Linked DNA regions of Oryzias latipes. The protein of the gene in region 1 interacts with the protein of each later gene in a pairwise test. Links are inferred from orthologs where the notes say so. Each region holds a gene or a part of one and is shown in the gene's direction. Other genes may lie near its edges.

Region 1 (4,423 bases):
ACCAGAACATCAAAGTTGGGCCTTTCTGTGTGGAGTTTGCATGTTCTCCCCGTGCACGCGTGGGTTTTCTCCGGAGACTTTAGCTTCCTGCCGACGTCCAAAATCCTGCTTCATGGGTTCCTCTAAATAGTCCCTAGGCGTGTGTGTGAGTCTGCATGGGTGTGTGATTGTGGCAGCCTGTTGATTGTGGGGGGTTATCGGCATTGTTTGTCGTGTCATTTTGTTTTTAAATTTGATTATATTTTATGCAAAGCACTTTCAGTGACATGAGTTGGAAAAGTGCTATATAAATAAAGGTTGAATTGATTGGATACTGTCCAAAAACATGCTTCATAGGTTAATGTGTGTCTCTGGATTGCCCCTAGGTGTGTGAGTGAGTGAGTGCATGGCCCTGAAACAGACTGGAACTTGTTCAGGGTGTCTCCTGCCTTTAGCCCAACAGTAGCTGGGCTAACTCCAGCTGCACTGTGACCACAAAAGGGATTCAGCTGGTTCTGAAAATTGAGGCACGATTCTTATCCATTACAATGCATCAAAGTATATAACACAATACAGAAACGGCAGGTGGGATACATATGTTACGCAGAAACACAAGGCCAGATATTATCTCTCCAGCTTGACCTGAATCTGCGGCTGGAAATACCTGTATGTCCACCAGAGCAGGATTGTTTACTAGCAAAAATAAAACTTTATATGAATTTTTGTATATTTAAATGGAAAGATATGTAAGTTCCAAACAGTGTACTTTTATTTAACAAGAACTGGGTAAATTAATAAACAATTGAATAACTACATTTTAGAAACAAATCAACTTGAAAATAAGACATCTACTAAAACTCATATATTTTTAAAATGTATAACTTATTTTTAAATATCTACCCAAGTGCATTTGGTCTGTGGTGTGTGGTAATGGCTTGCTGAAGTTTTCTGATAGTACTTTTAGTGTGCTGTTGTTTTCACCACAGTGGTTCACTGCTGGAAGATCTCAGTAGTTTCAACATAAACTTAAAGAACTGAGTCAAACAGACACAATAACTGAGAGGAAATAAAATCAGTTGTATTCTTCCATACATTGTTTTGGCTTGTCGGGCAGCTCTTTACCTGCAGGCCTCTGTTGTTTTCTGACCTAAAAAGACAGTCAGCCCAGCCCCTCCATCACAGACTTGGGAGGTGGAAAATTCCACTGATGTTGATTACAGGAGTCACTGCTGGTTTTGTTCTGACTTTAAACTTTTTCTTGTTGCTGTTTGCTTGATATATGTCCTATTCTATTTATGGATTCTAGAGTAAGTGATTCTTCAAAGAAAATTACTTTAACAGTCTCTTTTCCAGAGCACACATATGTAATGTCGCTGCGTATCAGCCTTTCTGCGGCCGCTGATTGGATGAAAACTGACCGCAGGGTGCCGCTGATTCGCCACAGATGAGGGGGCTGCTGGAACTGGCCAATAGCGTTCGAGCGCGAGCCGGGTGTATAAATAGTGTTGAAACAAAGGGAAGGAGTTAAACGGCAGTGACCCAGCCGAGGGTGAGCGCAGCTGAATGATCTTGTCCCGACAGACGCGTCCGGACCAGAGGCTGACTGTGGGGATAAAGCCACTCTGACGCGAATGAAGAAACTTCTCATCTTCCAGTTCACATACAGAGGACTTTTGACTAAAGGAAAAAAAGGGAAAAGAAGAAAATGGAGTATAAATTACGAAAAGCAGAGCCCAAGGACGTGCCAGACATATTACGACTCGTGAAGGTACGTAGATATAACGTCAACTACTATTAGAAAACAAAACAAAAAAAACCGGTCTGAACTGGACGCGCTTGTTCCGGTTAACGAGCCCTTTCTGCTGACGTCACGTTTCCCGCTTTGGAAACGTGTCGTCGACGGATAAAAAATACGGGAACTTTTTAGGAGAAGTGTGTCTGACAGCTGATGGTGAGACGGGAGGAAGGTCGGCAGGATGTCCGGCCGGCAGCTCAGCCCGGCGGCCTTTGTTTTTCAGCCAGACGGCTGGTGACCGAGTTAACTTCCGCCTCTCCATATATGGCTCTTCCGCCCGGCAGCTTAGCTTCTTATGGAGGCTGACCTCGGAGAAGTGTTATTATATGGTTGTGTAACGGCCGACCTGACACAGATACACACGTTTGACACAGTAACGCAGCTGAGGGGATGTCAGAATTTACAAACACAAGAAAAAAAAAACAACTAAAAACCGGAACAAAGAAGGAAATAAACGGCGCTTTTTGACACAACTTCATAAAAGCGGAAGTTGAAAACTTATCTGCCTAACCCGTTTAAAACTCTGCTGCAGACATAAAATACAGTACAAAGCAGCTGTCTTTAATAATAATCTCCAGCAGAAAACAAACTTTTATTTAGTGTTATTTGTCATTAGACGACGTCTTTGTCATCTGTGGAACATCCTGAGTCATCACTTTTTTTGGCTTCTGTCATGAACTTTTCTCTGGAAAAGTCTGCTCTCAGAATGTTTTTATCAACGCTCTGCTCTCATTCCAGGAGCTTGCTAAATACGAGGAGATGGAGCACCAGGTGGCGCTGACGGAGAAAGGTGAGTGTCCGGCGGCGTCCGCCCGCACGCCGACAGACCGTGTTTGATCATCGCCTGCTTCTGTGCAGATCTCCTGGAGGATGGATTTGGTGAAACGCCGTTTTACCACTGCATCATCGCTGAAATCCAAGGAGAGAGCAGCAGTGAAGGTAGGCGTGTGCCGCTCTGCTCAGCTTCCTGTTTGTTGGCAGGAAGAAGAGCCGCCGCCGGCTGCAGTTTGGGTTTAGTCAGACGTGTCGGCTCACGTGTGCTCTGGCTGGAGGCTCAGAGCAGCTGCAGGTCTGTGAAGGTTTCCTCCCTGCAGAATGGCCGGTGACCGCTGTCCCCCCCCTTGTCCCCATACAGATCCTAAGGTGGGGGGGTTTGCCATGTACTACTTCACCTACGACCCCTGGGTGGGCAAGCAGCTCTACCTGGAGGAGTTCTACGTGATGAACGAGTACAGAGGTGAGAGCAGCTCCTCCTGTCCTCCGGTGGGTCCCGAGCATCCCTGAACTCCTGTTGTCTCTTCCAGGTCTGGGGATGGGCTCGGAGATCCTGCGGCACCTCAGTGACGTGAGTTCGATTCCTGCTGCAGCAGCAACTGTTGATCGTTAACAAAACCTACAGTGTTTTTTAATCGATACCTTTTAGAATAAAAATATCACTTCTTGTAACATTCAAAACAAAATATATAAACATTGTTTTTTCTTATGAAATCCTGTAATGAAAAGACTCAGAACGTCTGTCTGCTCCGTTCCTCCTGTTGACTGCATGATGCTTCTGTGTCTGACTCATGAGCTGAGGCCTCCTCCTCCTCCTCATGTGACCAGCTGCTCTAACGTCTCCTTCTCTTGCTCCTGGTCCAGCTGGCGATGAAGACGCGCTGCACCGGCATGATGTTCGTGGTGGCGGAAAACAACGCCCCGTCCATGCAGTTCTACAAACGCCGCGGCGCGGAGGACCTGTCGCAGGAGGAGGGCTGGAGGCTCTTCAGGTTTGACAAGGACAGCCTCCTGAAGATGGCCACTCCAGCTGAAGAATGACAGGAGGTCCAGCAGGGCGGCGCAGGAGCAGGAGGAGACCCAGGAGTTCCAGCTCCACTCCCCTCTGCGCAGATGAAGCATGCAGATGTTTCGCTGTAATGGTTCTGGTGCAACACCTCTCTCTGATTTCTGATCTGAACTTTCCCACCAATAAAGAAATTCCTGATCTCAGAAGCTCCAGCCTTTCTGCTGTTTGACAGATCCGCTCATGTTCATGCAGCTCTGGACGTCCTCAAACGTGGACCTGCTCATCCGGGTTGAAGATGAGAACCTGAGCTCAGAAGAAGAGCTTTGAGAGGCAAACGGGGTCAGACTTGACCTGAAGGCTGAGTTTTAACATGCAGGCCCGTTAGAGGATTGTGTTAAGAAAATGTATTTCCATACTCATTATTTTCCATGTATTTATTTAAAGTCTTGGAGTTTGTTAGCTTAAATCCTATTATCATACCAAATCATAGTTTGTAGGCATGCTGGCTGGATGGTTTTTATTATTTTTAGTCTGGTGTTAACATGGTCGTTAGTCTTTCAGTTGATGGAACTGTAGACACTATATTCTTTGTTTTTCTTCAATGACCCTGGCATGCACTCGCACTTGTCTGCAGCCGCTCAGCTTCATAACAGCACTCAGCTCCCTGGGAGGTGAAGGCCGCAGACATGCAGCCGTGAGGAAAGAAAGGCGGAACCTCCAAAACGCTTGAATGTAACCGTTGTCTGTCTGCTCCTTGCTTGCAAGTAAAGCTTGAAAAGATAAACTTTTGAGTCTTATTGAATCTTTTTGCATGTCTGGAAAAACTGTCTGTGAGCCAACGGCGTCTTTACAGCCCGCCTTCAGAA
Region 2 (4,332 bases), on another chromosome or scaffold:
TTGATAGAAACAAGATCAAATCAAATAATTTTCAGCTCTCGTTTTTCTAACCAAGATCATTTAAAAGAGCTCGCCATTATCTCCTATTCCACTTGGTACCTATAGAAGAAATTCTACCCAGTCTCTAGAGTGCAGTGTTCGCCCAAATTTACCTGATTATTAGAAATTACATAATTTATAAGAATAAATTATGATTAGAGATTATTTCATAAATCATTCTGACATAAAAATGAATAAATGAACATGACAGCAACAATCTGAAAATTCCCATGTAAATCAAATCACATTTATTTCAGAAAAAATCTGAAAATTGAAATACACTGTTATCAATGTTTTGATCTAACATCCAAAGTCCACTACACAAAAACCTGTAAAAGTCAACTGTCATTCTTTCTGGATGGCATGTTATTTCATTTGTTGATCTATAATCTTGGAAGGACAACTCTAAGAAATTAGGCATGGCTCCTTTAAGCCAGACTGGATATGTTTAAAAATGTAATAACAAGTTTGATTTTCATGTGTATTGTTAATTAAATTGATCAGGACGTAATCACTTTGATTTATGGGAGAAAACAACGTCCATACAGGTTTTTTTCTACACAAAATAAAAATTAAAACAACTATATTTGGTGAACACTCTGACGCCTGAATTTATTTCCGTCTGTGACAAAAATTGCTTCTGATTTTGCTTTTATGTAGAAACTATTTTAGAGACGATGTGGTTTGATGCATACTTGCATCAATAGGCGGCATGGGGGTCAAAGACTCAAACATGTAAACAAGGGCTTTTGGATCAATTTCTGTCAATATGTAAACACATCAGAACAGATTATTGCAGTTATCTAATCCTCTAATCAGAAAAACACCATAAACATTTAATACTTTCCAATTATCTGTAACATCACCCAAGATGCTGATCAACTAAATTTAAGACTGAAACCTGGTGGCATATTGATTAACTCTCTGAAAAAAAAGGAAATTAATTATGACAAAGTAAAGTAACTTATTAAACCAGCCATGGGTCCCAGTGCATATGCTAATAAAATAAAATAAAAATTACCCCAATAATGCATAGACTTACGCTTTAACAAACCAATTTTGATACCATATTGTCCACTTGTATTATTGGTGCAAAGTTCGACTTCTAGACAAAGAAGTGGACCAAAAAAGAAGTCTCCCTTCTAAAAGTAGCCTCCGAGGTCATGACTGGAATGTGCTGCTTGAGCAACACCAAGCAGCTTTTATTTTGAAAGCTCAAACTGTGACGTCACCGAAACCAGGAAGTCCCAAGAGCAGCAAGAGCCGAGTGGTCTTGTTTTGCCTAAACTGTGAGTTTAAAAACTTCGATGCTCCTTTTTTTGATGTCATGAAGGCGCTGGCGGTGAGACGTAAATTCACGGCGCAGCTGCTGAGCGCAGCGCGTGCGCCACGTGCGTTTATCAGCTGTTGTGTGTTTGTGGGTGAAGGGCATGGCGGGGCTGCCGCTGCTGAGGGCTCTCCGGGCTCTGCACCCCCGAGCACTGACCACCACCGCGGTCCGGTCACCGCGCTGGGATCCTCCCCTTCCCTCCAGGCCCCCGTGCGCGTCGTCCTGTCCGGTGAGGTTTCTGCGCATGAGCCCCGCGTCGTGTGCAGGTCACAACAAGTGGTCAAAGGTTAAACACATCAAAGGACCCAAAGATGAAGCGAGGGGACGGATGTTCATGAAGTTTGGCATGATGATAAGAATAGCAGTAAAGGGTGAGTGTAGAGTTTGTTGACACATGACGTCATTATTTCACTTGAACTCATGGATTCTGTCCGTCTGTCTGCAGAAGGAGGATCCAACCCAGACCTGAATGTAAACCTTGCACACATCCTGGAGCAGTGCAGGAGCAAGAACATGCCCAAGGCATCCATAGATGCTGCAGTCAAGAGTGCAGTAAGTTAAAGATTTACAACACAGGTGTGTGTGTGTGGGGGGGGGGGGGGGGAGGGAGTGTTTGCCCCTATCTGATTCTGTGCTTTTGAGTGCAAACCCAAATTTAAAGACAGAAGTAAGAAAAGTTGTTTTTAAAAGTCGTCCACATGGGAGGGACTTCCTACGTCACAGAGAGGTGGACCTGCTGCAGAACCTCAGTGCGCTTCAGCTTGATAACGTGAACATGGAGAAGGTAGACAGAAGCATTCATATCAGAGGAGCCTGAGGAGGACAGGTTTACTACTTAGTGCACTAGATAGTGCATTTCACCTTTTTGTAAAGCTGTCTGAATGTATCGTTCCCAAATCCAGTGCTGTGAAATTTCCCAGACGTCTCTGCAAAAAACCAGTATGTATCAATGCTCACTAAATCGGCAAATACAGACCACAATGCATTGCGTTTGAATGATTTGTCATGGGGGGAAAAATGTATGTATTTTTATTTTAAATATATAAACCATCGAAGTTTGTATCTTCAGAACACAGTTGATTAAGAAAATATTCTTAGCAGAATGTTCATATTTTTTAGATTTTTACTTTGGGAAATATGTAACATCATATATGTCATTAAAGTTTTTTTTAAATAGTAGCTGGAATGGTGTCTGGAGCCGGTTTAGCTCTTGCTGGTCTGCGGCGCCTTCTGTCCGTGAAACAAGGGTTCGAATCCGGGCTGCTCCCTATTCCCTTCTCTGCTTCTGTGCCGTTCCCAAGCCCGGATAAATTGAGAGGGTTGCGTCAGGAAGGGCATCCGGCGTAAAACATTGCCAAGTTAACCATGCGACTCATCCTCGACTGAGAGGTCGTTTCGCTGTGGCGACCCCTGATGGGAAAAGCCGAAAGAGAAAGAAGAGCTGGTATGGTGTCTGAATTAAAATCCAAGGCCTCAGATGGTCCAGCGGTATTTAGTTTTGTTGTAGTTTGGGTGAAGGGAGGAAAATGGAAAAATGGCTTTTTCACATTAAAAATGGAGACACTTTTCACACTCCTGTATGTTTGTGTGGTAGGTGAGCTTTATGTACGGTTTGGGTGCGACATCAGAATAATACGCCATCATTTTCTTCTTCTGAAGATGTTTCTTTGTGATTGGTGGTGAAACAATTCTTACAATGTACTTAATATAAATCCTGTGATGTTAATTCTCACAACCTTCAATAACTTTAATTTGTTAACGTTTTTTCACTTCCTGTCTACAGGAAAAGGCTAAGCCGGCATTGCAGCACATGCTGGAAGCTCGAGGGCCTGGTGGATGTGTGCTGCTCATCGAGGTGCTCACTGACAACAACTCACGCACTCATCAGGAAATCAAGCGGCTGCTGAACAAGAACGGGTCCGAACTAACTTTTACTCACTCGTTCCAGTCTAGTTTTTATGCTTCCATCTATCTCAGTCCTCTACATCTTTGGTCTTCCTCTTGATGTCTTTCCTGCTAGCTCCAATCCCAGCATCCTTTTACCAGCATCATCACCTCTGCTCCTTGTAACCTCACCGTTGCTGGTGAATTTCTAAGAAACAATTTCATGTTTTTTTTCATTGTAAATCTTTAGCACAAACGGCTGATCAATGAACCAGCATCTGTGATTTTAATGAACCCCTTTCTGGAAGAGTTCATTGGTGTTACAAAATGATGATGGCAACCTCAAACTAGCCAAAAAAAGGGGTTTTAAATTAACCCAAGGGGTCACATGACCTCCTTTTTGGTCCATTTACTTCTTTCATTTTTTTTTAGCAAATAAGCTGTTTAACTGAAATCAACCAAAAGCGGTAGATGGATTTATCGTAAAGGCGGGTTTGTGAGCAGAAATGAAGAAAACGAATGAAAGGACTTGTTTTCCCGCTTGTGTCCTCAGGGGGACGCTGTCCGATGGCTGCCGGCATAACTTCAATCGCAGTGGAGTAGTGGTGCTGCCGGGTCACAACATCTCCTCAGAGAAAGCGCTTGAGCTCGCCATCGAATCGGGAGCGGCAGATGTCCAAGAAACTGAGGACGAGGAGGAGAAGCCACTTCTGAAGGTGACAAAACCTGGTCCGGAGGGTTTTTTCTTAGGGTCTTTTGCTGAATCAAAAAAAAGTTTGATTATACTTTCTATATTTAACAATATATCTGGCATATTTTTGCTAAAGTCCTTTAAATGTTGACATGTTTAAAGGACTAACTTAACCTGACAGAGTTAACTAATCCATTTAAAAAACAACTATTTTCTATTATTCCTGTTAAATCAAGTATAATTTGGTGTCAATGGGAGATTTACCCGTTTTCTTCTTCCATCAGTTTATTTGTGATGTGGCGGATCTGAACAAAGTCCGAGTCGCCCTGGAAAGGCAGGAACTGCCGGTCACATCCTCCGGGTTGGAGTTTGTTCCCCGGAATTACTC

The links.
Region 2: the proteins of sat1 (region 1) and translational activator of cytochrome c oxidase 1 interact in binary tests that used the Homo sapiens proteins (3 or more experiments, as listed by UniProt). The two-hybrid records come from large-scale screens. The link is inferred for Oryzias latipes from reciprocal best matches to the Homo sapiens genes SAT1 and TACO1.

Annotation. Positions count from the first base shown.
Region 1 is NC_019878.2:2,835,675-2,840,097, forward strand, and holds sat1 (diamine acetyltransferase 1), read left to right. Parts: upstream 1-1,477; 5' UTR 1,478-1,684; coding exon 1,685-1,747; intron 1,748-2,512; coding exon 2,513-2,564; intron 2,565-2,632; coding exon 2,633-2,713; intron 2,714-2,909; coding exon 2,910-3,011; intron 3,012-3,078; coding exon 3,079-3,119; intron 3,120-3,412; coding exon 3,413-3,589; 3' UTR 3,590-4,341; downstream 4,342-4,423. UniProt on the Homo sapiens protein: Enzyme which catalyzes the acetylation of polyamines. Substrate specificity: norspermidine = spermidine >> spermine > N(1)-acetylspermine. This highly regulated enzyme allows a fine attenuation of the intracellular concentration of polyamines.
Region 2 is NC_019877.2:7,385,596-7,389,927, forward strand, and holds the start of translational activator of cytochrome c oxidase 1, read left to right. Parts: upstream 1-1,276; 5' UTR 1,277-1,366; coding exon 1,367-1,381; intron 1,382-1,466; coding exon 1,467-1,740; intron 1,741-1,814; coding exon 1,815-1,921; intron 1,922-3,152; coding exon 3,153-3,286; intron 3,287-3,806; coding exon 3,807-3,969; intron 3,970-4,228; coding exon 4,229-4,332. UniProt on the Homo sapiens protein: Acts as a translational activator of mitochondrially-encoded cytochrome c oxidase 1.